Nothobranchius furzeri: one gene and its partners. The protein of the gene in region 1 purifies or fractionates together with the protein of each later gene. This does not show direct contact. Links are inferred from orthologs where the notes say so. Each region holds a gene or a part of one and is shown on either strand. Other genes may lie near its edges.

The links.
Region 2: the proteins of hif1aa (region 1) and yap1 purify together in Homo sapiens (affinity purification with western blotting; 3 studies listed by BioGRID and IntAct, with this or other methods). This does not show direct contact. The link is inferred for Nothobranchius furzeri from reciprocal best matches to the Homo sapiens genes HIF1A and YAP1.
Region 3: the proteins of hif1aa (region 1) and sumo1 purify together in Homo sapiens (co-immunoprecipitation; 3 studies listed by BioGRID and IntAct, with this or other methods). This does not show direct contact. The link is inferred for Nothobranchius furzeri from reciprocal best matches to the Homo sapiens genes HIF1A and SUMO1.
Region 4: the proteins of hif1aa (region 1) and histone deacetylase 4 purify together in Homo sapiens (affinity purification with western blotting; 4 studies listed by BioGRID and IntAct, with this or other methods). This does not show direct contact. The link is inferred for Nothobranchius furzeri from reciprocal best matches to the Homo sapiens genes HIF1A and HDAC4.
Region 5: the proteins of hif1aa (region 1) and cul2 purify together in Homo sapiens (affinity purification with western blotting; 7 studies listed by BioGRID and IntAct, with this or other methods). This does not show direct contact. The link is inferred for Nothobranchius furzeri from reciprocal best matches to the Homo sapiens genes HIF1A and CUL2.

The regions. Positions count from the first base shown.
Region 1 is NC_091758.1:31,049,323-31,054,031, reverse strand, and holds part of hif1aa (hypoxia inducible factor 1 subunit alpha a), read left to right. Parts: intron 1-2,329; coding exon 2,330-2,520; intron 2,521-2,807; coding exon 2,808-2,959; intron 2,960-3,083; coding exon 3,084-3,168; intron 3,169-3,698; coding exon 3,699-3,808; intron 3,809-3,932; coding exon 3,933-4,120; intron 4,121-4,193; coding exon 4,194-4,300; intron 4,301-4,389; coding exon 4,390-4,537; intron 4,538-4,618; coding exon 4,619-4,709.
Region 2 is NC_091753.1:45,030,772-45,035,260, reverse strand, and holds the end of yap1 (transcriptional coactivator YAP1), read left to right. Parts: coding exon 1-3; intron 4-1,909; coding exon 1,910-2,022; intron 2,023-2,884; coding exon 2,885-3,120; 3' UTR 3,121-3,329; downstream 3,330-4,489. UniProt on the Homo sapiens protein: Transcriptional regulator with dual roles as a coactivator and corepressor. Critical downstream regulatory target in the Hippo signaling pathway, crucial for organ size control and tumor suppression by restricting proliferation and promoting apoptosis.
Region 3 is NC_091743.1:83,213,560-83,218,980, forward strand, and holds the start of sumo1 (small ubiquitin-related modifier 1), read left to right. Parts: upstream 1-1,867; 5' UTR 1,868-2,004; coding exon 2,005-2,016; intron 2,017-2,364; coding exon 2,365-2,439; intron 2,440-4,918; coding exon 4,919-4,996; intron 4,997-5,107; coding exon 5,108-5,179; intron 5,180-5,421. UniProt on the Homo sapiens protein: Ubiquitin-like protein that can be covalently attached to proteins as a monomer or a lysine-linked polymer.
Region 4 is NC_091754.1:47,188,258-47,192,966, forward strand, and holds part of histone deacetylase 4, read right to left. Parts: intron 2,907-4,709; coding exon 2,694-2,906; intron 2,210-2,693; coding exon 2,014-2,209; intron 1,740-2,013; coding exon 1,606-1,739; intron 1,534-1,605; coding exon 1,431-1,533; intron 1,359-1,430; coding exon 1,312-1,358; intron 1,228-1,311; coding exon 1,120-1,227; intron 1-1,119. UniProt on the Homo sapiens protein: Responsible for the deacetylation of lysine residues on the N-terminal part of the core histones (H2A, H2B, H3 and H4).
Region 5 is NC_091747.1:38,640,973-38,645,203, forward strand, and holds the start of cul2 (cullin-2), read right to left. Parts: upstream 2,801-4,231; 5' UTR 2,668-2,800; intron 1,718-2,667; 5' UTR 1,698-1,717; coding exon 1,579-1,697; intron 1,442-1,578; coding exon 1,339-1,441; intron 1,258-1,338; coding exon 1,163-1,257; intron 1-1,162.

The DNA of each region.
Region 1 (4,709 bases):
AAACCTTTACAATGTGGATATTCTTTATTTAATTGGTTTATGGGAATTTTTGGGTGAAAAACTGAAATCTAAACATTTTACTGGTACATTTTGTCATGAAAAATTGTTTAAACCTGCAAATTGATAATTTAATATAGATATAAACATGAGTTAGTTGTTTTATTGTTTTAGCCTCTGTTATTAGCAGCCATTGTGGAAGGTACTAAGGGCTTCAGACCCCTACTTTAGACAATCTGCTGTTTAGTATGAATACATTCACCACCTGTGTGTGTGGGGGGGGGGGGGTGGGGGGGGGGGCTTTGTCTTCCACATGAACCTTGTCTCCATTACATGAAGTTGTATTTTAGTCAGATGTTACAGGACTCCCATAAAGGGACTGAACAGCCACTACTATTTTACAGACGAGTATTTATCAGTCATTATTGTGAGTGCGAGGTTCACAACGGTGTGGCGAATAAAACTGGACTCGTCACTTTGCAGAAATGGTTTTCCCGTGTGTCTCATGGATGGGATGCTAATAATTTTTTGGGATGAGTTGGAATATAATTCCCTCCGAATGTGAACGCTGACTTTGAAGGAAGAAAGTATTTACGTTGGCATAACTTTGTAGCTTCCCAATTGTAAATGGAACTTAATAGCAGCAACACTGAGTGTTTTTCTGTTTGTGTGTTCATGTCACCGAATAGAAATTTTGACCCACATGCTTTTCGCTAGATTAAATCAGCACCTAGCCTATTTCCCGAGGGACGGTGATTCGGCTCAGCATTGAAAATCTTCCAGCCGCAGAGGACCAATTAGCTTTATCGTGGATCGGTTTGTGCATCACGTGTGTGTAATGGAAAGCTTTCGTGTGAAACACAGCCTGCCTGTTAACTAAAATTAGCCTCCTGCAAATTACATTATCTGGTCTATTTTCTGGCAAAAACAAAAGGGCCTTATTCAGTGCTGTAAGTGCGTGCCAGATCAATTTCAATCAGGTGTGCATTTCATAGCTGTGGGTTTTTAAGCTGTTCATTTGGTCGTCTGGCTGCTCACATGTCATCTAAATGTATTTCAACTTACTGAGGTGCAGTTTGCAACAAAGATTGGTGATATAAATTTATGGCATATGAATGGGAGATGAAATCTGTTTTTTGAGGCATCGCGGTTTTTCTAAATCGATTTTGTTTATGTTTATTTACCGCAATGTTGAGCAACATAAGGTGGAACAGGAAGTACAGCACAGACTTTAAAAAAATTTTTTTATAAGCACATAATGGAGGCACAATTTGCAGTGGCGTGTCCAGGCCTTTTAAAATGGGTGGCTCCAGTGGGGCACTAATTTATGCATGGGTGGCACCTATAGTTATACTTTTTGTTTTGATCTGCGGGGTTGTCACCCCTCACAAAATAATACATTTTTGCATTATTCTTCAACTTCTTGTTTTGAGGTGGTTAGCAAGCCACTTCTTGGTGCATTACCGCCATCTACTGGAGTGAGTTTGGACCAGGACTATGAATACTATTTTTGTCAATATGAAAACAATAATTAATAATACACAAATGTTCTGTAGGCCTGTGACTAGAAACTAATGTTAAAAGTCCATACTGTCGACTACTGTTTTAGGGGTTAACCCTTATTTTTTTGTGGACAACTTAATGTCAATTTAAGTGGAACTCATTGGGGTGGCCAGTCAGATTCCAAGAGTGGCAAATGCTGCTCCAGACCACTCACTGGACACGCCATTGACAATGAGCAATAAAAAGAGTGAACAAGTGAACATTTTAAACATGGCCGCCGAGCGAGACCAGTGTTGTGTCAAAAGGCCTTCCTTCTCCAAATATCGTCTGTTTTTCTTTTGTTTTTGATTCTGAATCAAGACAACAGCAAACATCATTCAAAATAATATTAAACCCACAACCATTTTTTGAATGAAAGCGGCCATTTGATGCACCCCTTCTTGTTCTTACCTTGAATCTAACAATTTTGTCTCATTAAGTTTTTATAGTGTAGTGATTTCAGTCACTTGAAGAATCAATAGCCCTGCTTTGATTCAGCGGTGGTCACATTAGCCGAAATGGCACTGTAAAATGTCTGAATCAGTGTGTGGGATGGGGGTGGGGGGATGGCTGAGCTCTGACTCTTTCCTGTGTAGTCATTTGAGTGGGCGAGTCCTATTTCGTTTGTTCAGCAGCCAATAGGACGCTTGCATTGCACTGGCTGGGCTGAGACAGCCTGTTGAATGCTCCAGCTGCGCTGGCCTCTGCAGACATGTTTCAGTTTTGGGAAAAGGGATTTTTACGTTTAACAAACCCAGCATGAGGCTGATCCACCTCCTGTCTCCTGCAGGGTGAGCTCGGAGCGCAGGAAGGAGAAATCAAGGGATGCAGCAAGATGCCGCCGTGGGAAGGAGTCGGAGGTGTTCTATGAGCTGGCCAAGCAGCTGCCTCTCCCCCACAGCACCAGCTCAAGCCTGGACAAGGCCTCCATCATGAGGCTGACCATCAGCTACCTGCGCATGAGGAACCTTCTCTGCAGTGGTCAGCATCTGTAGCGACAGATGATTATAAACCATTCCACTGCTCTGTTAACCATGTACCTGCAGTATGCTTGTCATATTTGTTATCTTGTTGACTTCAGAGTAATTCACTTCATTTACATGTAGCCTATAGTGGAAAACACAAAGGAGGTACTGCGTATTCTGCCATAATCTCTCTGCAGAAACACCTGGGGCTAGAGGAGTGGTTTTTCTGTGTCTGCAGCTGTTTGAACCGGTTATTTGTCCTTTAGCTTATCACCCACCTTGCTCCCTCTCTCAATGCTCCAGATAAGCCAATGGAAGAGGGGGAAACTGAGCTTGATGTTCAGCTGAACGGGTCCTACCTGAAGGCGTTGGAGGGCTTCCTCATGGTGCTGTCTGAAGACGGCGATATGATTTATCTCTCGGAGAATGTCAGCAAGTGTCTTGGGCTGGCGCAGGTGGGTCTGAAGCAGGGAATTAAAAAATAAGTGCACATTTTTAAGCTTTAAATGAATACTTCTTGGTAGCTCTATTTATATATTTGTGTTTTAAAAGTATATTTCTGTTTGTTTGCCTTTGCAGTTTGACCTGACTGGCCACAGTGTGTTTGACTTCACACATCCCTGCGACCAGGAGGAGCTGAGAGAGATGCTCCTCTGTAGAACAGGTGAGCAGTGTTGCACTGAAGAGTACAAATGTGTAGAGAAACCGAGACGCGCACACACAGAGCTCTCTGTCGGGTGTGTTGGTGCTCCAGATGGTAGAAAGTCCAACTCACTCTGTGGTCAGCTCTGCTTAGTAACGACACAAAAATCCACTCCGGTTTTGAGCAGTGGCTGAGTAATCTTCCGACCTTTTAATCATCAATAACAGATCTTTGCTTTGCTTCTCGTTAGTGAGATAAGTTTTGCTGAATCTTCTCTCTGCTTCGGTTCACTCTTACATTTAGGACCTGTGTTTTTTGTTATTTCTTTGCTCACTGATACCGCCTCGGCTCTAACTGCTGGTAGCTATTTCCATTTTATCCTCTAGCTCACCACAAGGCCACAGCATCAGAGCAAATGTCTCCTTTTGATGCAAATTTTATCAGTTGGCAGTTTGTAGATTGTTGAGTTGGGACCAATAAAAAAGAGCAATCTACTGCTGGCTTACTCTGCCTCACTCTGGATTCATATCTGTTTAATTTTGTGATTCCAGGCTCCAAAAAAAGCAAGGAACCAAATAATGAACGGAATTTCTTTCTGAGGATGAAATGCACCCTCACAAGCAGAGGTCGCACGGTTAATGTCAAGTCGGCTACATGGAAGGTAAAGAAGTGTTGAAGCTGTGGAGCATCTCGGGCTCCTAAATTAAAAAAGTTACTTAAAGTAAAAAATAATAATTACAGAAAGATTAAAGTTTCCCTCTTGGTTTGAAAACGTGTTTCTGTAGGTCCTTCACTGCTCGGGTCACATGTGTGTTCATGACCATCGAGCAGAGCAGATGGAGCCACTGCTCCCCTACCTGGTTCTGATCTGTGACCCCATCCCCCACCCTTCCAACATCGAGGTCCCTCTGGACACCAAGACGTTCCTCAGCCGCCACACCATGGACATGAAGTTCACATATTGTGATGAGAGGTGAGAGAATCTGGAGTCCCACGGGGACACCTAGTGCTCAGTGTGGGTACTACAACATTGTTTCTGTTCCCAGGATCACTGAGCTGATGGGATACGATCCAGAAGACCTGCTGAATCGTTCTGTGTACGAGTACTATCACGCTCTGGACTCTGACCACCTCACAAAGACTCACCACCACTGTAAGCACAAAGAGCATAGATCTAGAGTAAAATTGGAAAACGTCGCTGTTTATTTCGTGACTTTTGACCGTGTTTTCTGCTGTTTGCAGTGTTTGCGAAGGGCCAGGTCACCACAGGTCAGTACCGGATGTTGGCCAAAAGAGGAGGCTTTGTCTGGGTGGAAACGCAGGCCACCGTTATCTACAACAACAAGAACTCACAGCCACAGTGTGTCGTCTGTGTCAACTTTGTCCTCAGGTACTTGCACTAGTATCGTCATGTCATGTGGAGATATCGGATCAGAAAGTAGCATACTGACATCTTGTGGTTGTCCAACAGTGGGATCCAAGAGGACAAACTAATCCTGTCTTTGGGGCAGACTGAGGACATGAAGCCAGTGAAGGAGGAAGAGCAGGAGGAAGAGGAGCTC
Region 2 (4,489 bases), on another chromosome or scaffold:
CAGGTTAGTTTCCTGCAGAGCCTCCTCTGTCGAACACCTGGAGGAAATAATAACGCAGCGAAATCTCAAGGCATGTCATCACCCAGCCCGAAGAAAATGCTTGGGCTTGGCTCGTCGGACCCAGCGCACCAGCGCATCCTCGGCTATTTGAGCTCGAGCTGCTGGAGCTGAATCACAAATGTTTACCGAAACAGAAGGCATGTCTCTTAACTTAACCCACTTCACATGGTTGTGACTCACAGACCAGCAGATGTTCTGCAGTGTAGCGCACAATAACGACCTCTGGTGTCCAACCCCTGTAATAAAGGTACATGGTGGTTATGAAAGCAGCACTTTTTTCTTTTTTGGCTAGAACTTTCATAACTTGGCATCAAAGATGAAGCCTGGTGGATCAGAGTTGAACCCGATCCCGACTGGGATGTATTAACAAGACTTCACCTCATTCTGGTGTGCATTTCTTCACAGTTGAAGCAGTCGTTCTTCTGTGAGCAAACAGTGTGGAAAGAGCTGAATGGCGAGCGGCGGGACATGAGAACATGTGGTCCAGTCAGTAGACAGGCCGACCTAATCTCCCCTCCTCCCCCTGTTCCCGTCACTCCCTGGCTCTCACAAAGGCTTCATTCATCCTGCCTCTGCCATACTCTGCCTACATATTTTTCTGCTAATTAGTATAGGCTCGTCAAATGTCTTCTTTTCTCCCTTTGTCTCTGTTGTCCCTGTTTTTATTGTTGCCCTTTCCTGTGTGCTACGATGGAAAGTGGGAAAAATAAAGCTCTGTTTTACTTGCAGAAGGTCCCAGAGAGCACTTTTGGAGCTCTAAATAACACATTCAGATCATCGACATATATACGATTCAGATGTATCGTTTAAAGGTGTGGAACACTGAACCATTTAAAATGTTGTTTCTGATTATGATCAGTCACTCTTGAGTTTTTCATGCAGGCTGAACATGAAAATAGTCTCCTACACCCATCTCCTGCGTTTGTGTCTGATAGAAAATAGACGGTGAAACTGTAGGATTTGAAAAGTCTGACAGATCTACGTCACATTGTTCCTTAATATTCATGGACTCACCTATGTTGACTCGTGAACATCCCTGCTAGTAGAAGCTAACCGTTAGTGTTAGCACCTCCACACAGCAGAAGCTCCTCCAGGCTTGTGTTATTTGTAGAGATAAAACGTCTACGAAGCACGCCAGTGGTAGTCGAGTTGCTCCGAGGCAAGATGTCCAAATATCAGGAAATAGGACTCCAAAACCTGCTGTTTGAAGCTCGGCTGTGATGTGGCTCACCTTTAGGTCCTAGAAATGGTGCACCCGTATATTTCTTCTCCCTAGAAAACGGCGTGCAAGGCATTCATTCCTACTAGAGACCACTGCAAATGTACAGTGATCCCTCGCTACTTCGCGGTTCGTTTATCGCGGATTCACGACTTCGCGGATTTTTTCTTTGGAGCCTTATTCAAGGGAAATTCGCCAATTCGCGGTATTTTTCAGCAATTCGCAGTATTCTATGCGAAATATCAAGAAATTCCTGTTTTTTTTTCATCAATTTCATCATAAAATGCACTTTTTGTAATAAAACTATAAAAAAAAACAAGTAAAAATACAGTACTATGTAAAGGGAGGGTTTTAAAAGTCTGAATACTGAATACGTACCTGTTAAATAAATACTGGAAATATGGTGTCCCTACTTTGCGGATTTTCACCTATCGCTGCCAGGTCTGGAACGCATCTACCGCGATAAATGAGGGATCACCTGTATTGATTAAATGAGTGTTCCACACCTTTAATGTCGGAGAGCAAGTAAAAGGTCAGAAATAAAAGCTTGTGAGTTTTGCGTTGATTTAAATCCTGGTGGACAGCTAATAAGCCACAATTTGTCTCTACCTCTTTTTTCCCCATTCCCAGTGGGACCTACCACTCCCGGGATGAGAGCACAGACAGCGGATTGAGTATGAGCAGCTACAGTGTTCCTCGCACTCCAGATGACTTCCTGAATAGTGTGGATGAGATGGATACAGGTGAGTTCCTCACTGGGCGTAATTACCATGTAGTTGCTGCTTTATAAATATTTAAATAGAACGATAACTCCTGTTTTTAGTATCCTGGGAGCGGTTACTGCTAATCTTTCTATGCTGTTAAAGGAATCTTTGTCAAATCTTCCAGAATACAAGATACCAAAATTGCAATTTTAGATCATAATTTAGATCAGCTTCTCCATTTCCCTCCAACATCAATAAGAAACAGTCCCATCTGATTGCAGAATGCTTTTTTTTAGCATCAGGGTTTATCTTTAAATGCAGCTGTTGAGTTTGAAGGTTTTCCCAATTATGAGGCTACATTGATCACACTGGTGGAAATATTTTTTTATGTTGGAGGACTCTTACGTCACACTCTGCCAAAACTTTTTACCATCGTTTCTGCTTTTTAAAAATTCTTGCCGTCTGCAATTCCGAGCAGGCCTCTCGTCTGGCCACCAGGATATTTCCCGGTGCTCCCGATGGCCAGTCTGCTACTGCCTGTTATCTAAATGCATTTGGGGTCATAGGTTAAGGTGGAAAAGAGGGTTTGACTTTTATTTATTTATTTTTTGAGGGGTTGCATTTCAGCTACCGTACCTACACGAGTCTATCAGGATTTTTCCACTCTAGGACAAAAAACCAACATCAAGGCTCCTCGCACAGACCGAATATATTCCTGCTCCGTTTTCTGTGTATTTTTGCCCTAAAACTCTAGATTTGCTTAAACATGAAAAACATTCCGGTTTTATCATTTGCCGGAAAATTAAAAGATGTTTATCACTTTCATTTGTTTTTCTCCTCAAGCAGATTGATTTGGTTCAGTTGTTTTATCTCAAACTTGTCATCTTTTCCCATTCATCAGGGGACCAACTTCCGCCCTCCATGGCAACGCAGCCCAACCGTTTCCCTGACTACCTGGACGCCATCCCAGGAACAGACGTGGATCTTGGCACCCTGGAGAGCGAGAGCATGGCGGTGGAGGGCGAAGAGCTGATGCCCAGTCTGCAGGAGCCTCTGAGCTCCGACATCCTCAGCGACATGGAGTCTGTGCTCGCAGCCACCAAGATCGACAAGGAGAGCTTCCTGACATGGTTATAGAGGACCGGAGCGGGGCCCTCTGAACTCCTCCTGTCTCAACAATCTGAACATCTGCCTGGCCACATCTGTGAAGGAATCCACGTTTGCTCTTTTACCAGACATTTCAGCGAGCCTCTGAACTTCTCTCCGCGTGCAGGGCTAACCTCTTTTCAGACAGTATTCTGGTCTTTTTTATTTTTTATTTTTGTCTGTGTCTTCAAGGCTGGCCTGTGAACAGACAATTTATGCAAGGGCCCCTAAATTGTTCCCAGGTCTTTTTGGTGAGTGTAGGGCTTATTTAGTCGGAGCGTAGCTGAACTGGGCAGATGCACGAACTCTTCCGTAAGGACTGCCTTTTACTGCTCATCACCTGGAGTCTCTGGAGCCTCTCTTGTCTTGCAGTATAGCACGAAGCAGCACTACATAACTGTGTTTGGGGCTTTTAGTTTCATAGCTTTATATTTGGCGCCTTTTTTAAAAAACATAAACAAGCCTGAAAAACCAAAAATGATGTATGTGGAGCATAAAGAACAATACTGATTTGGAGTGACGGTAACGTGAAGCCCATTTTGGACGTGTTGGCTTTGCTTTTTGGGGCGTGGGGGGTGGGACCAGGGGACCGACTACATTGCTGCTTGGCTGTGCCAGCGAGCCTAAGTTAAACCTTTGATCGATCAAGTGCCTTCAGATGTATTTTTTTTTTTAGACGCGAGCGACTCGAATAAATACCCAGTTTCTGTAATGCAACAAAAAGTATCAGGCTGTATTAACTAATATAAGCCGCATGTTCTTGTTTGTGGATCAATAATCAAAAACTATTTTATTTTATGTACGTAAGGTGGTTTGGGGGATCTTTTTTAACCTCTAGTGTCTTTGTATCATCTTTATCCGAGCCTAACACTCGTTTTATTAGTTTTTTCCTTTTTCTTTTATCTCGTTACACCTGTTTGGTAGATTTTTTCTTTTACTCGGATTCATTGAAACATTTTTGTTATCAGGATCAGCTGTTCTCACATCACAAGATTCAGTCAAGCAGAACACTTTTTTTTAAAACATAACCAATCGTCTGATTCTTCTTTTTTTTTTGCTTTACTATACATATATATATAAATATATATATAAACGTATACATATTAGTGTTTTTGTTGATCACGAGCAGCTTGTTACTATATCTGCTTAAACATGAACCAAAAAAAAAAAGCAAAAAGAGGCAGATCTATAGACTCTATAGAGAACTTTCCTCAGATCAGTTTTAGCATGTGACAGTATAAACGAATTTTAACGTTCGAAACGGTCTGAAACCCCGTGTGTGGTGCTGTGTTGAGTGTTTTTATTGATTACAGCTTGGGGGCAAGTTTAAGCAGGCTTTAGAGTCACGTTACAGGAAAAA
Region 3 (5,421 bases), on another chromosome or scaffold:
AGTGGCGTTCTGTGTTTTATTTTGAAACAAATGTTAACCGAAAGTACTTTTATTTTGAGAAGCTTAACTAGTGTTAACCCCTAACCTCACTGAGGGTCCAACAGAAACATCATACAAACATGACAAGTAAAAATATTTATTAGATTTTTGAGCATTTGTTTGGAGCTTCATTTCAGTTCCAATTTATTAAATAAGTTGTAAACACAGTGTTTTATAGTATAAATTAAGCTTCCGTTTAGACAAGTCACATTTCCTCATAATTTAAATTCAAAGCAAACGATACTCAAGGTCAATTCAGGTCATTCAAATGCCATCCAGTGTGACTTGCTGTTCCAAACACACTAGGCCCACTCATTATCTGATTCATTCCAGTGACTTTTTTTCCGGAACTGCGCTGCTCTGGGTGGCTGCATGTTGGAGTAGCTCTGTTGACTATATGTAAGTTTAGCCTTTTCTTTAGCATTTTTTCTTCTAGTTTCTCAAGAAAAACTATTTTTTGGACACTTTACTTTTCTGTTTCTGGTGCTGTGAAGCTTGGAGGATTTTTACTGCTATTTTTTTTAGCTTTTTTCACTTTTTGAGCATTTGTTATGATGTGTAACCATGGCAACAAGCTGGTTTACAATCGGGAGCAGCTGATTAACATTGGAAAGGCTGAAATAATACCTCAACTGAAGCCACAAATCCCAAATGAGCTAAAATGCAAGAAGCGTGGGTGCAGAGCGTGAGCAAAACGGAGACACAGAGAGAGAGGAAATTCAAACCATCTCTTCCATCGATCATAATGGGCAATGTGAGATCACTGGTCAACAAGATGGAGGAACTCCAAGCCCTTTCAAGGACTCAGCCAGAGTTTCGGCTGTTCGGGAACCGCTGGAGGAGATAATGCAAAGAAGGATTCTCCAGAGAATCAAGAAAATTATGGACAACCCTGAGCGTTCTCTTCACAAGACTGTCCGACAACGGAAGAGTGTCTTCAGTCAGAGGCTTCTTCAGTTTCGCTGCAACACTGACCGCTACTGGAGATCCGTCCTGCCAACAGCCATTGTAATATACAACAAATCTTTGATGGCTTGATTATTATTATTATTCTGATCTACTACAGCAATCAATTTCCCTCTGGGATTAATAAAGTATTTTTGAATTGAATTGAATTGATTACATGCTGGTCCAAGTTCATTCAGTAGTGATTAACTTGACCCCTATTAATTCCAATTTAGTTCAGTTATTTGCAGTCAAATCCAGTCATGTTATGATAAAATTTAAATTGTTTCATTAAACACTATGTGTAAATGTGCATTCAACGCATAATTTTACCACTTTATATTCCCAAACAGCAAAATTCTGCTGCAAGAAGAACAATTCGTTTGATTATCTTTGGTGTGTTCTTGCTGTGTTGAAATTCTAATTCCATCTTTTAGTTTTTTTAAACACAGAAAGGTTTTATTTACCTGGGTTTTGCAGCCGCAAACGAAACGTTGCAGGTAAATAAAATCTTTCTGTGTTTTAAAAAGAACTAAAAGATGGAATTAATTTGATCACATTTTAAACACACCGCTCACTTCAGATCAATAACACTAAAACTGTGTCTTGCGATGGGATCAACATATTAACGTGCGCCTCATTGTATGATTTTTCAGATAAATGCAGTAATAATGATTATTAGACTTTTTTATTCATTGCAATTTGTTTGAATTTACATGAGCAAATGATTATAATTACTTTTAGACAATGATTGCTACTTCTGATAGTTTGAACATTTTATCTAAATATTATTTAAAAATATTTGTTGTTCACTGCTTTCATTAGAAGCGCAACAACAGCATAAAAATATAAAAAATACTATTGTTTCTCTAATCTGAAGGGAGTTTTATTGTGAAAAAACGTCTTTTCGTCACTTCCGGCTAATGTCGAATTCCCATAACATCTAACGAGAGCTGCAGCGGAAAGCTGAAGGTACATCTATTGTCAGGAAATTTGAGCCAAAACACAGAAAATAAGAAAATGTCAGACACGGTAAGACCCCAGTGTTTGTGGAAAACAACAAATCTTCTGTCGGAACTGTTCAGAAGACGCACAAATTGATTGTTTTTTTAGGCTCGTTTGGTTATCTAACATGCTACTAGCCAGCTAACGTAGCTTCAGGGACACAAAACACAGCTCTTTTTTGACCTTTTAGATAAAAATTTTGCTGTTATTTTTTAAAATGTCCAACAGAAACTGCGTGTTATTATATTTTATAGTCAAGTCGTTCAAAAAGATGAGCGATTTTGTTAAACAAACCTTCGAAGTGAACACTCAGGCCTGTTTGAACGTGGGTGCGTGTCTGTATTGTGCTGTTTATGTTGTTTGTTTATTTTTAAGGAGACAAAACCATCCAGTCAAGACGGCGGCGATAAGAAGGATGGCGAGTATATAAAGTTAAAAGTGATTGGTCAGGTAGGTTTTAATATCATTACAGCTAGTGAGATGGCTTTAGTCTGGTTATTCCTGCTTATTTACTGATTCACTAACTCTTTTTATATAACGGCCCTCCATGTAACCATTTTTTTAAATGGTTTTAAATTCATTTTGTAATTTAGTTTGAATTTACTGGCTGTAGTTATGTCCAGATTGGTATTAACTGCTGCAATTCTTACTGTTTATGCATTTTCTCAAATTATTTTACATCATTAGACTTTTTGTAAAACAACGCAAATGCTGCTAGAGAAGCATGCAGCTTACCTTAGTCTAGGCCAGGGGTCTGCAACCTTAACCCCCCCCCCCCCCCCCCCAATAAATAACACTTATTTACAACTACAGCTGTTGCAGAATCCTTCTGTAAAAAGTAATTTTATTAGACAAGACAGCATTATTTTTATAGCACATTTCCTCCACAGAGGCAACTCAATGTGCTTTATAATAAAGAGACAATTTCCATCTTTCACTTCTTTTTACAACACAGAAAAGGTTTCATTACCTTCAAAGTTTCGTTTGCGGCTGCAAACATCGTCAGGCTGACGCCGATGGTGGCGTCACTTCCTTCGTTTAGCGGGCAGCAGAAGACATCGTCGCCCTCTGCTGCCCGCTCTCCCCTCTCCGATGATGCAGTCCCATGCGCGAGCCAATGAGTAAACTCCATCGTCTCTGTTCATGGTCCCACATCCTTATCTCGATAGCTTCTTTTATCCATCTTTTGTTTTTCTGTTTGGTGTTTATGATCCTTGTGTTATCCCACATAATGGACTGGGACAACACAAGGATCATAAACACCAAACAACAGAAAAACAAAAGATGGATAAAAGACGCTATAGAGATAAGGAGACATGGATGTGGGTCCATGAACAGAGTTGATGGAGTTTACTCGTTGGATCGCGCATGGGACTGCATCATCGGAGAGGGGAGAGCAGGCAGCAGAGGACGAGGGCGACAACGTCCTCTGCTGCCCGCGGATAAACGAAGGAAGTGACGCCACCATCGGCGTCAGCCTGACGATGTTTGCAGCCGCAAACGAAATGTTGCAGGTAAATAAACCTTTTCTGTGTTTTAAAAAGAACTGAAAGATGGAATCTGAAACTAAACACAGCAAGAACACACCAAAGATAAATAAAGAGACAAAACAAAAACACAAATGAACATTAGGGTTACATAAAAAGAAAACATTGAAGACTAAAGCTGGAAAATTACCATAATATCAATGAAACATTGAGAAGAGAAATAATGTGGTCAGTCAGGAATGACTAAGTAGGTGTAAGGAGACTAAAACTAAGGCAGTAAAAACTGGTACAATGAACTACAAAAAACTTGTTGAATGTCTCTTTTTCTTTTAGAGAATTGGGCCACTGAAAAACCAGTTTTTCCCCTCAGAATTCTGAGAAAAAAAAGAGACAAAACTCTGAGATTAAAATCAGGATTCAGACATTCCCCCTGAGATTATAATCAGAAATATATTTTGTCATATTCTGTAAATATTTTTTGAAGAGATTCTGCTATTAAAGAGCAAGTCACCCCCAAATCAACTTTTTTTTTCTGATAAACTATATAGTGTGTCTAATCACGCTGCAGACACGTGTAGTCAATAGTTTTGTACTTTAGTGCATTTTAGTTCAAATTGTAATTTTCTGCCTAAAACTGTCAGTGTTGTGCCGTTGTCAGGTAAAAACCCTGCACTGCATTAGAATCTAAATCTGCCATCGCTATTGGCTAAGAGGTATGCTATGATGTAAACTGGTCCTTATGATGTCACAATGCCGTTGTGAGCCTGTGTGTGTATTTGTTAGTGGCTCCGCCCTCTCGGTCTGCCAGGCAACAGCATTTGTTGCATTTTTCAAACATGAAGAGGGAGTGAAGTAAGTTTCTTGTAGGGGGTGACTTGCTCTTTAAGTTATAAAATTTAGAAAACAAACGTGTGCGTACACAGTATCACTATTTTTTCTTTGGATGTTGATATTTGTTAAAAATGATGTAAAAAACACAAATAGATGTAAAAATAAGTACTGTTGTGGATATTCAATGCAATTATTCCTTAAAAAACTGAAATGCTGCCTAAACCTGCATTTGTTTTTTTTTTTTAAAGTTAAATAGATTTGGAAAACACATTATTTTATATTATGAGCCAAAGTTCTTTGAGCCATTGTGGAAGATCCAGAAATCCTTTTGGCCTTGTCGTATAGGGTGTGTGATTTTTTTAATGCAACACGTTTCCCTGTATACATCAGACGTCATATGTGTGATTGTAATCCTTCTAAATGCTTGAATTTCAACATATTTTAGAGGTTTCTAACAGGCTTGAGTCTGATCATGTTGTAATTTGATCATAGAGACAGTTCATGCAACATCTCAACAACTCACCTTGAAAATGCTTTAATCTGACAAACATGTAACAAGCAGTAAATGAACAGATTCTCATTGCTGCCTCACCCTTTTGTTTGTGCAACAGGACAGCAGTGAAATCCACTTTAAGGTGAAAATGACCACACATCTAAAGAAACTCAAAGAGTCGTACAGCCAGAGACAGGTACGATCAGCTGTAGCTCCTATTGCTGCTCGATTCTTTACTCTAAACCAAACAAAGAGAAACTCGACGAACCCAAACGTCTTCATGTGTCCTCTGGTGCTTCTCTCACAGGGCGTCCCAGCGAGCACACTAAGGTTTCTGTTTGAGGGACAGAGAATCGCAGACAACCAGACTCCAAAAGAGGTAAACATGGCCGCCGTGGCCTTATTATTCTGTCATGTTGATGCTGAAACTGTTCTTAGTGTGTTCATTCTCACCGATCTGTTTTGTTTACGCTCTGAACCTTTCACTGACTCGTTTATCTGGGCTGCTGTCGTGTATTTTATAGTCACGGTTTGTCTCCGGAGTCCTAACAAGATGATTAGATCAGCAGCTTTTCACTATATCACAGATGTGGGACTGTAGGAGTTACTAACGTTTCTGGT
Region 4 (4,709 bases), on another chromosome or scaffold:
GTATCATCTGATCTAATATTTTTTAAATGATGACATCAAACAGACAAAAAATAAGAAGTTATGGGCAAATATTGGTATTTTAAAGACTAAAGGGGAAAAATGTAAACAAATAAACAACACAATTACAAAATAACACATTTTAGGCAAAATTTAGACACAAACTGAGGACAACATTCCCTGACATACAGGGTTTATTTAATTGTGTGAAAATGTAGCACGTTAAAAAAAAAACGCGATAATACCGAAAACCGTGGTAATTTTAGTCACAATAACCGTGAGGTTAAATTTTCACACCGTGACAGCCCTAATTCAGACATTTGAGCTACAGATGTAAGATTTTACTGATGTCGTCTTTTTGTTCTAATCTGGAAAGTTTACCATGTAAACGGGGCGATGGTGGCACAGGAGTTAAGTGCTCGCCCCATAGTCAGAAGGTTGCAGGTTCGAGCCCCACTCAGTCTGTCGTTGTGTCTTTGGGCAAGACACAACCCCCTTGCCTGCTGGTGGTGGTCGGAGGGACCGGTGGCGCCTGTGCTTGGCAGCTTCGCCTCTGTCAGTGCGCCCCAGAGCAGCTGTGGCTACAATGTAGCTCATCACCACCAGTGTGTGAATGTGTGAATTACTGATTGTGTTGTAACACACCTTGGGGGTTCCAGGACTCTAGAAGGTGCTGTATCAAAAAAAAGGCCATTTACCATGTAGATAGCTTCCTGAATAGCCTCAGTTTGAAGACACAGTATTTACATGCTAAAGGATTGATGAGCTAACGGCTAGTCTGAGCACAGGTGTCATCTTTATGAAGCTCCAGTCTACGAAACTTCAGAGAAGTTTGAGTTTCATTTGGTAAACTTTAACAATGATGTTACTTATCAGTTACTCATTTCTGTTACTCATTAGTTACACAGTTACACACTCATTTCTGTTACTCATTAGTTTCTCAGTTACTCACTCATCCGTTACTCAGTTACTGATCAGTTAGTAACCCACTCATCAGTTACTAAGTTACTACAGCTTTGGCTCGTAGGTCAGAAAACCTCCCTAAGTGATTTTCCTCCAACAGGAACCCAAATCAAAATGGCTGAAGTATCATTTTTGAATAGAATGAGAGTATTATTTTACCTTCAGCTCTCCAGTGGCCACTTTGAAAACCAGCTCCACCACCGAGCCGACGGCGAGGCGAGCGGCGCTGGACGAGTGGACCTCATTCCAAATGGTGTCACTGTCCACCTGAAACACCCAGATGTTTAACTGCTGCAGTGGTTAAATACATTTAGACAATAAAACCGTCGGATCTTTCATGCCGTCACTCACCCCCACTCCTCCACACGGGAGCCGTACAAACATGGGTGTTACCGAACCTGCAGATCAGATGTAACGTCCGTTAGAGGAGATCAGCGGCAAAGTGTTTTCACTCTGAGCTCCAGGCTTACAATCAAGTTTCTGTCGGAGCGGGTTGGTTCCATACAGCAGCACGTGGGCCTCAGAGTGGACAGTCTGCAGCTCCTCCAGAGTGGCCTTCCTCCCCCGGATGCACTAAACACACAAACACAACAGCTTTCACACATCTGGCCTCAGAGCAAGACCGTCAGCACCCACGGCTCCTACCTCACACTGCGCTCTGAGCCCGGTCTCCTGCAGCCGAGACCAGATGCTCTGGATCCGCCCGGCGTGCTCCGGGTGGCTGTTGGTGTTCCCACACATGCACTGGTGCTTCTGCATCAGGGAGTCGTACACCAGACCTGGGTGGGAAAGCAGACGGCCCAGTTTCACCACAACCTGAGTTCTAACCTCAGAACAAACAAATGTCTGTGGTTCTGATCCGGGCAGCTCTGGGGGTAAAACGGCCCAACTACAAATATCTCCTTCTCTTCTGCGTTAATGCAGGTAAAACCGACACCAACAGCTTCCTTAAAGAGACTTAAGAGAGGAGATCTGAAGAAGAAGGTTCGGTTTTTAAACATTTCCGTCCCTAATGCTTCAGAAACAGAAGGGAGACATGATGACGATGCAAACCTGTGGTGAAGCGCGATTTGACGGGAGGATCAGCTGTAGGGACGCTGAGAGGAAACGAGGACGCTGAAGCTGGAGACGACTGGGCCCTGGACAGGGGACGGTGTCCTGGGAAGGAGACGGACAAACCGGCCGCCTCCATCGATGCCTGATAGTTTCTGAGCTGGTGAATCCGCTGCTGCTCCAGTAGGAGAGCCTGCTGCTCAGAGGGGAGAATAAAGGAGGAAACCAGGATTATTCATCAGTTGGGAAACACGGCCCAGAGATCACATTTAAAAGACCCTTCCGTGTGTTATGACCTCCTTCTGCCACCTTAAAACCACAGAAAGTTCATGTCTGTTCGTAATGATTATTTTACTTTTATCAAAGTCAAAATGTGGAGAAAACATCGGATACTTATAAAAGCAGTTTTGAGTTTCACCCTAAACCAGCTCTAATCAGCTTCAGATGAGTTGAGGTATTTGTGTATGTAGAGACTCTTATTTTGAAGGACTGAACCCTTTTTTAAGGCTTAACCTGTAAAACCCACCTGAACCCTTGGTCAGATCAGAACAAATCCACTCTTCTCTGACAGTAGTATTTAAAAAGTAAAGATGATAACAGGGCAGGAGGAAGTGTGGGTGCAGCGAGTGACCAGCAGGTGGCAGTGTAAACACATCATTCAGCTGCTTAACTCATCTTACCTGTCTGAAGAGCAGCTCCTGCTCTACCTGTCTCTCCAGGTGCTGCTGCAGCACCTCCTCCTGCAGCTCCTGTGGGTCTGGGGGCTCCTGCTTGATGGTGACCCCCAGCGGCAGTACTCCTCCGTCCTGGTGCTCCCTCAGCTCCTCCTCTGTCTCCTCCGGGTGGCTCTGGTGCTGCCGACCCACGGGTGACTCGCTGGGCTTCCCGATCATCTGCAGAAGGATGAGAACCAGCTGGATGTGACAGATCCCACAAACCAAACTCCTGTTCTCCTCTAACGAGCTTCATCATGATGGCTCCGGCGTGCCTCTAACAGGGTGAGTGCCTCGCTCCACGTGTGACATCACTCAGACATTCCAGCATGCTGCCAGCGACTCATCCAGGGGCCCCGACCCCATGCGCTCATTCATCCCCACTGATTGGTGGACGCGGGTGTTTATGACGCAGAAACTCGCAAGAAAGAGGAGAGTTTGCAGCAGGTCCCAAGTGGGCTCCATCTACAGGTGTGTGTGTGTGCGTGCGTTCCCAAAGCTACAGTCCTCTGGGTCTGCTGGCATCGTGCCAGGGGACATCAATGACGCCAGAGCATTCACCCCCTCGCTCTGATCCTGCTCAACTTTCCCAGAATTCCCATCTTTATTCCCGTTGCAGCAGATCTAAACAAACATGTTAAATGAAAAAAAAATAAAAATAAAAAAATAAACTCGTCTACATAAACGGATGATTTATTTGGGTTTTTCTAGCTGCTGTTGCTTGTTCTAACTTGCATTTATTATGTATTTTTATTGTTAATCAGAATCATTTTAGTTATGTGCTCTTTATTTATACCTGATTCATGTTTTTTTTACACAACATCATTAAAAAAGAAAATTTTCTGACTTTTACTTTGAAAAACCTTTACTTGTTCCTACCTTTATCCTATTGCTCATCAGTGATATTTTAGTCATCTCAAAGTCTCTGTGTGACTCATCTTTCCTGCAAATTTCAGATTTTTCAAACAGTCTCTTCTTTTTTAGAGCCTTTTATTTAGAAAAACCTTCCTCTTTTGTTTTTCTTGCTGTTTTTATGGTTTAAGAGTCCAGAATGAGGTTAGATTAGTTCAGAAGGTTCTGTCTCAACAAACGTTGATCCAGAATGAGGACAGGAGCTTTTGGCCTGTAGCCTGGATGGATCAGGAGCATCAGAACCCGGTTCGGGTCCGTCTGGGTTAGCTACGACCACGTTGGGTCATAAGGCTCTGCTATGTATTTATTTCTTTACATGTTGAATGATTGTTTATTTACTTAAAGCAGTAAAGTTAAACTAATCACCTTCTAGATGACATCATCTTCCTGAGACGCCGTGTTGGATTATAATGTATGATGCTGACCTTTGACCTGGTGTTTCTCTTAGAGAGATTTAAAGAAACCTTTTCTAATAACTTAATCATTTTTATTGAACTTGTGACGGTTAAAAACCAAAGTGAGATCCTGAATATCTCTAATAGCTAGAAATGTAAAATGAAAACAGAAACATAGAAATGAAATAACAACAATACATAAATGCTCCACAGATAAAAGCTCAGGTCTCAGGAGGATAAATCTACATTTTTTAATAAATAAAAGATGAAAATAAAACACTTTGTTCCTTTTGTTTTGTTCCCGACTCCTGAATGTGTCGCTGATGCGCCGTCAGCTGCTGGAAACGTTTTTCAGCAGAAAGTTACTGCTCAGGAGCTCTGAAGCCCACGGAGTGTGAGAGAGAGAGAGAGAGAAAGGGAGAGAGAGAGAGAGAGAGAGGAAATCCCTTGTTTCATCCACCCACCTATCCTCCTCTGCCTGAATAGGTAAAGCCATCAACAGCAACAGCAGCTTTCTTCCTCCTTTGCCCATAAAAGGCGAGGGCTTCCGCTCTGTTGCCATGGTAGCAAACGGTTACCTCTCAGCTGCCTGCACAGCCTCAGAAACATGGATGCAAATGTGTAAGTTAGCTCAAACGCGCCTCCACCCACTCACTAGCAGGAATAGTGGAGAGGC
Region 5 (4,231 bases), on another chromosome or scaffold:
GTTTCTCTTCTCCTCTGTTGGAGGTCTGTGCTATGTTTACCATTTTGTATCACTGCTGTAGCGCGGGAGCTGAATATGTCACGTGTTCAGAGTATTCTGACCCAAGGCTGCACTGCATTGTGAATTATATTAAACACTGCATTGATTGCCCGTTCAGTTCAAGATCAACAGTCAGGCCCCTCCCTATCTAAGCAAACTCCTCCACTTCTACCACCCTTCTCGTGCTCTTAGGTCTGCAGATAAACTCCTCCTCACTGTCCCTAAGACGCGTTTGAGGACTCGCGGGGAAAGGGCTTTTTTGTATCTGTGCCCCAAAATTTTGGAATTCACTACCCCTTCCGGTTAGACGAGCACCCTCGCTTCCCATCTTTAAATCGAGGCTGAAAATGCATTACTTCTCCATGGCCTTCGATTCTTAGCATCAACAGTTTGTCATACCTCCTTCTACTGTGGTTTTTCCCATCTTAAATCTGTGGTCTGACTACTTTTAATCATTTTTTGTTTTTATTGTTTTTGTTTGAAACGGTTCTTCGTTGTATTTTTTTTTTATTAATTTTATGACTCGACTATTTTATCCTTTTATTGTTTTATTTTGTACAACGCTTTGGTTGATTGTAATGCCATATTGAAAGCGCTTTTATAAATAAAATGGTGTGGTGTTGGTTCCACCACTATGTATGTTACGTTATTTAACAAAAATTAATGTGGTTGACAAATATAACTTTTGAGGTCAAATACAGTATGGATAATTTACATGCAGCAAAAATTTTAAGACCCAGTTGTCAAAATTCAAGACTTAAGGTGTGATTTCCAAATTCCTAAATTCAATGCTTTTAAGACTTTTAAAGACCCCGCGGGAACCCTGAGAACAGAATCAATCTGCTCTCCCTGACAGAGGTCAACACCCGTGTCAAGTCACAACTTCCCGTAAAAATGTGCTGGAAAATGATGGTGCAGATTCAAAGTCATCAGATCAGGGGCATTTGTTTACATCCGGAACTAGGAAGCTTCAGTTTGTTCTCCAACTGTATAATGCTTCTGCTCAGATAGAACAGTGTAGTGAAGGCTACTCTTTAGTAACATTATAAATAAATCTAATAATAAATAATAAATGAACCTCATGACTCTCTCATATCAATGAGATCAAAAGCCTGGGTGTTACCTGTACAAGCAGTCCATGTAGTCGGCTCCTTTACTGTACTCCTCCCAGTACATGTGGTACATAACTAAAACCTTCTCCTCCGATTCCAGAACTTTCTAAAAAACATAAACAGGTAGAGCAGCTGTTATAGACTGCTAAGTTCAACAGGAATGCAAGAATTGTATTTTAACGCTCACCTTGTACAGCTGCCTAACGTGGTTCTCAAGAAAAATTTTGGTCTCTGTGTATAACTTCTCCCCTAAAGGCTCAGGGTACGCAACACACAAGGCATAAATGTCACTAATGTTACAGTCAAGGGTTAGAACGAAGAGTTTGCACTAATACAAACATAAACACAGTGTAGTAAAGTACTTTACCGTACATGTTTACAATCCAAAATATAGACACATTAAATGGCTTCTCTGAAACTAGGATACGAGAATCGATCGTTCCACGTGGCTCGTTCCACGTAGTCGAGCATCACGACAGCCTTGATTGTAGTCAGTAACTTGTTCCATGTCTCATCGAAATCCACCACCCGTGGCTTTAAAGACATTGTAGATTTCCTCTTTTATCCTACAGAAGAATAAAAATAGTGAATACGTTGTTACGGGTGAATATTTAATATTTTGAAGAATCTGTATTTTATCATGTTTTTTCTGGTAATACCATTTCTTTCACCAATCTAATAATGTAATACGTCCTTATTAAACAGAATACAAGTGATGAAATCAAAAGGAAAGCGTTGAATAGTGACATCAATGAAGAAAACCAATGAATGTTTTTAAATGGATATCTTTGCTCCACTAATGACATCAATGACGTTGCAATAAACTATACACCTCTAAACCAGTGGCATAAAAACAGCATTAGATATAGCTGCTCACATATAGCTGCTTGTGATAGTAAGATTAGATACACAATGTACAAAGACAACGTTCATTGGGACAAAACACACCGGACACACGGTCTGGTGTGTCCGCGTTGCGATCATAACTGACAATAACTGACATGAACTTTCATTTTGCTTTCACTGAAGTCATTTATTAAATCAAGTAAAGAAACGTAGGCCCTGTGTTCTTGTGTCAGTTGAATAAACGTCACACAATATCACTGAAACACTTTGACAGTTTTAGTCGTTGCAGCCGGTTTCATTCATACACGTACGCGTCTCTCCTGAAGGAAGGATCGGTGCTAAACACACCTCTTTACAGTCCCGATAAACGAAGCTAAGTAAAGGTGACTGGCTAGCGGCATGCCAATCCCAAAATAGGATTCAATGCTAAAAGGCTAACTAGCTTCATGCTAGCATGCTAAGCTACTTCTTCCCGTTTGAATAGCATACAATCTGATGGAAACAGTTAGCGTTCCGTGTGATAGCAGCTAGCTAATGGCAGCTCAGCTATCGCTAGCAAGTCATCTCAGTAGTTTCTCCACAATCACACTGACACCTCCACAAAACATGGCACTGCTGTCAAACAAACCAAATCACCCGAGTTAAGCAGGGACTCTTACATACTACATACCTCTGTGTAATATGTAGTTGTTAAAAACCCAGTTAGTATTCTCCGCTGTCACGGGTTTGATTTGTTTTACAGGTCTTCCCTAGTATTCTTCTTCTTCTATGGTTTTAATGACAGATTAAAATGCCAGTTTCTGAATGCTGCCACCTACCGTATCGGAACGTGCAAGGGTACATTTGAATAAATAAATAAATATTTTCAGTTTGCATTTGATTTTTTTGTTTTAACAAGTTTGAAGAAAATAGTGTCAAATATTAATCAAACAATTTGCCCTTTCTTGTCTATTCCATTGCTGTCTATGTCAATTTTTTTCTCGAAAGACATTGTTTCATTTGTAAAAGAGTTCACCACTAATTGGCAACTTTGACACTAAAATATTGGAATGCATTCCAGTCAGCAACATTATCTCACATTAAAAGTCAAGCAGATGATGATTCTCCAATCACACAAACATGTTACTTCTTCCTTTGGTAGATTTGTTTCATATTTCATGCAAGTTGTGATTTTAACTGGTGAGGTGTCCGGGTGTGTGCTGCACCCACCTCACATCTACTGAAGGATGCAGGTAGGTATCAGTTCCTAGCAACCATGGAAACAAGCAAAGACAGAAAATGAATAGATGGGAGTTTCGCTGTCATCGGTGATTTACCTTTGGGAATGACTGTTCTAGATGCGTCACATAATTGCGTGGACAACATCCATCCATCCATTCATCCATCCATAAACTGAACCACTTCTTCCTTAGTAGGGTCACAGGAAGCTGGTGCCTAATTCCAACTAAACAGTAATAGTTAAAATTAGCGTGGGACATGTTGGAAGGCCATTGCAACTTACAGTTGTGGTCAGAAGTTTACATACACTTGTAAAAAATATAATATAATGGCTCTACTGAGTGTCCCGTTATTTCTAAAACTCTGATTTTTCTCTTACCGAGGAACTGTGCTGCTCTGGGTGGCTGCATGTTGGAGTAGCTCTGTTGACTATATGTAAGTTTTGCCTTTTCTTGGACAGTTTTTCTTCTAGTTTCTCAAGAAAAACTGTATTTTTTGGACACTTTACTTTTCTGTTTCTGGTGCTGTGAAGCTTGGAGGATTTTTACTGCTATTTTTTAGCTTTCTTTACTTTTTGAGCATTTGTTATGATGCGTAACCATGGCAAAAAGCTGGCTTACAATCAGGAGCAGCTGGTTAACATTGGAAAGGCTGAAATAATACCTCAACTGAAGCCACAAATCCCAAATGAGCTAAAATGCAAGAAGTGTGGGTGCAGAGCGGGACGGAGACAGAGAAAGAGGAAATTCAAACCATCTCTTCCATCGATCATAACGGGCAATGTGAGATCACTGGCCAACAAGATGGAGGAACTCCAAGCCCTTTCAAGGACTCAGCCAGAGTTTCAGCAGTTTCGGAACCGCTGGAGGAGATGATGCAAAGAAGGATTCTCCAGAGAATCAAGAAAATGATGGACAACCCTGAGCATTCTCTTCACAAGACTGTCCGACAACGGAAGAGTGTCTTCAGTCAGAGGCTTCTTCAGTTTGGCTGCAACACTGACCACTACTGGAGAT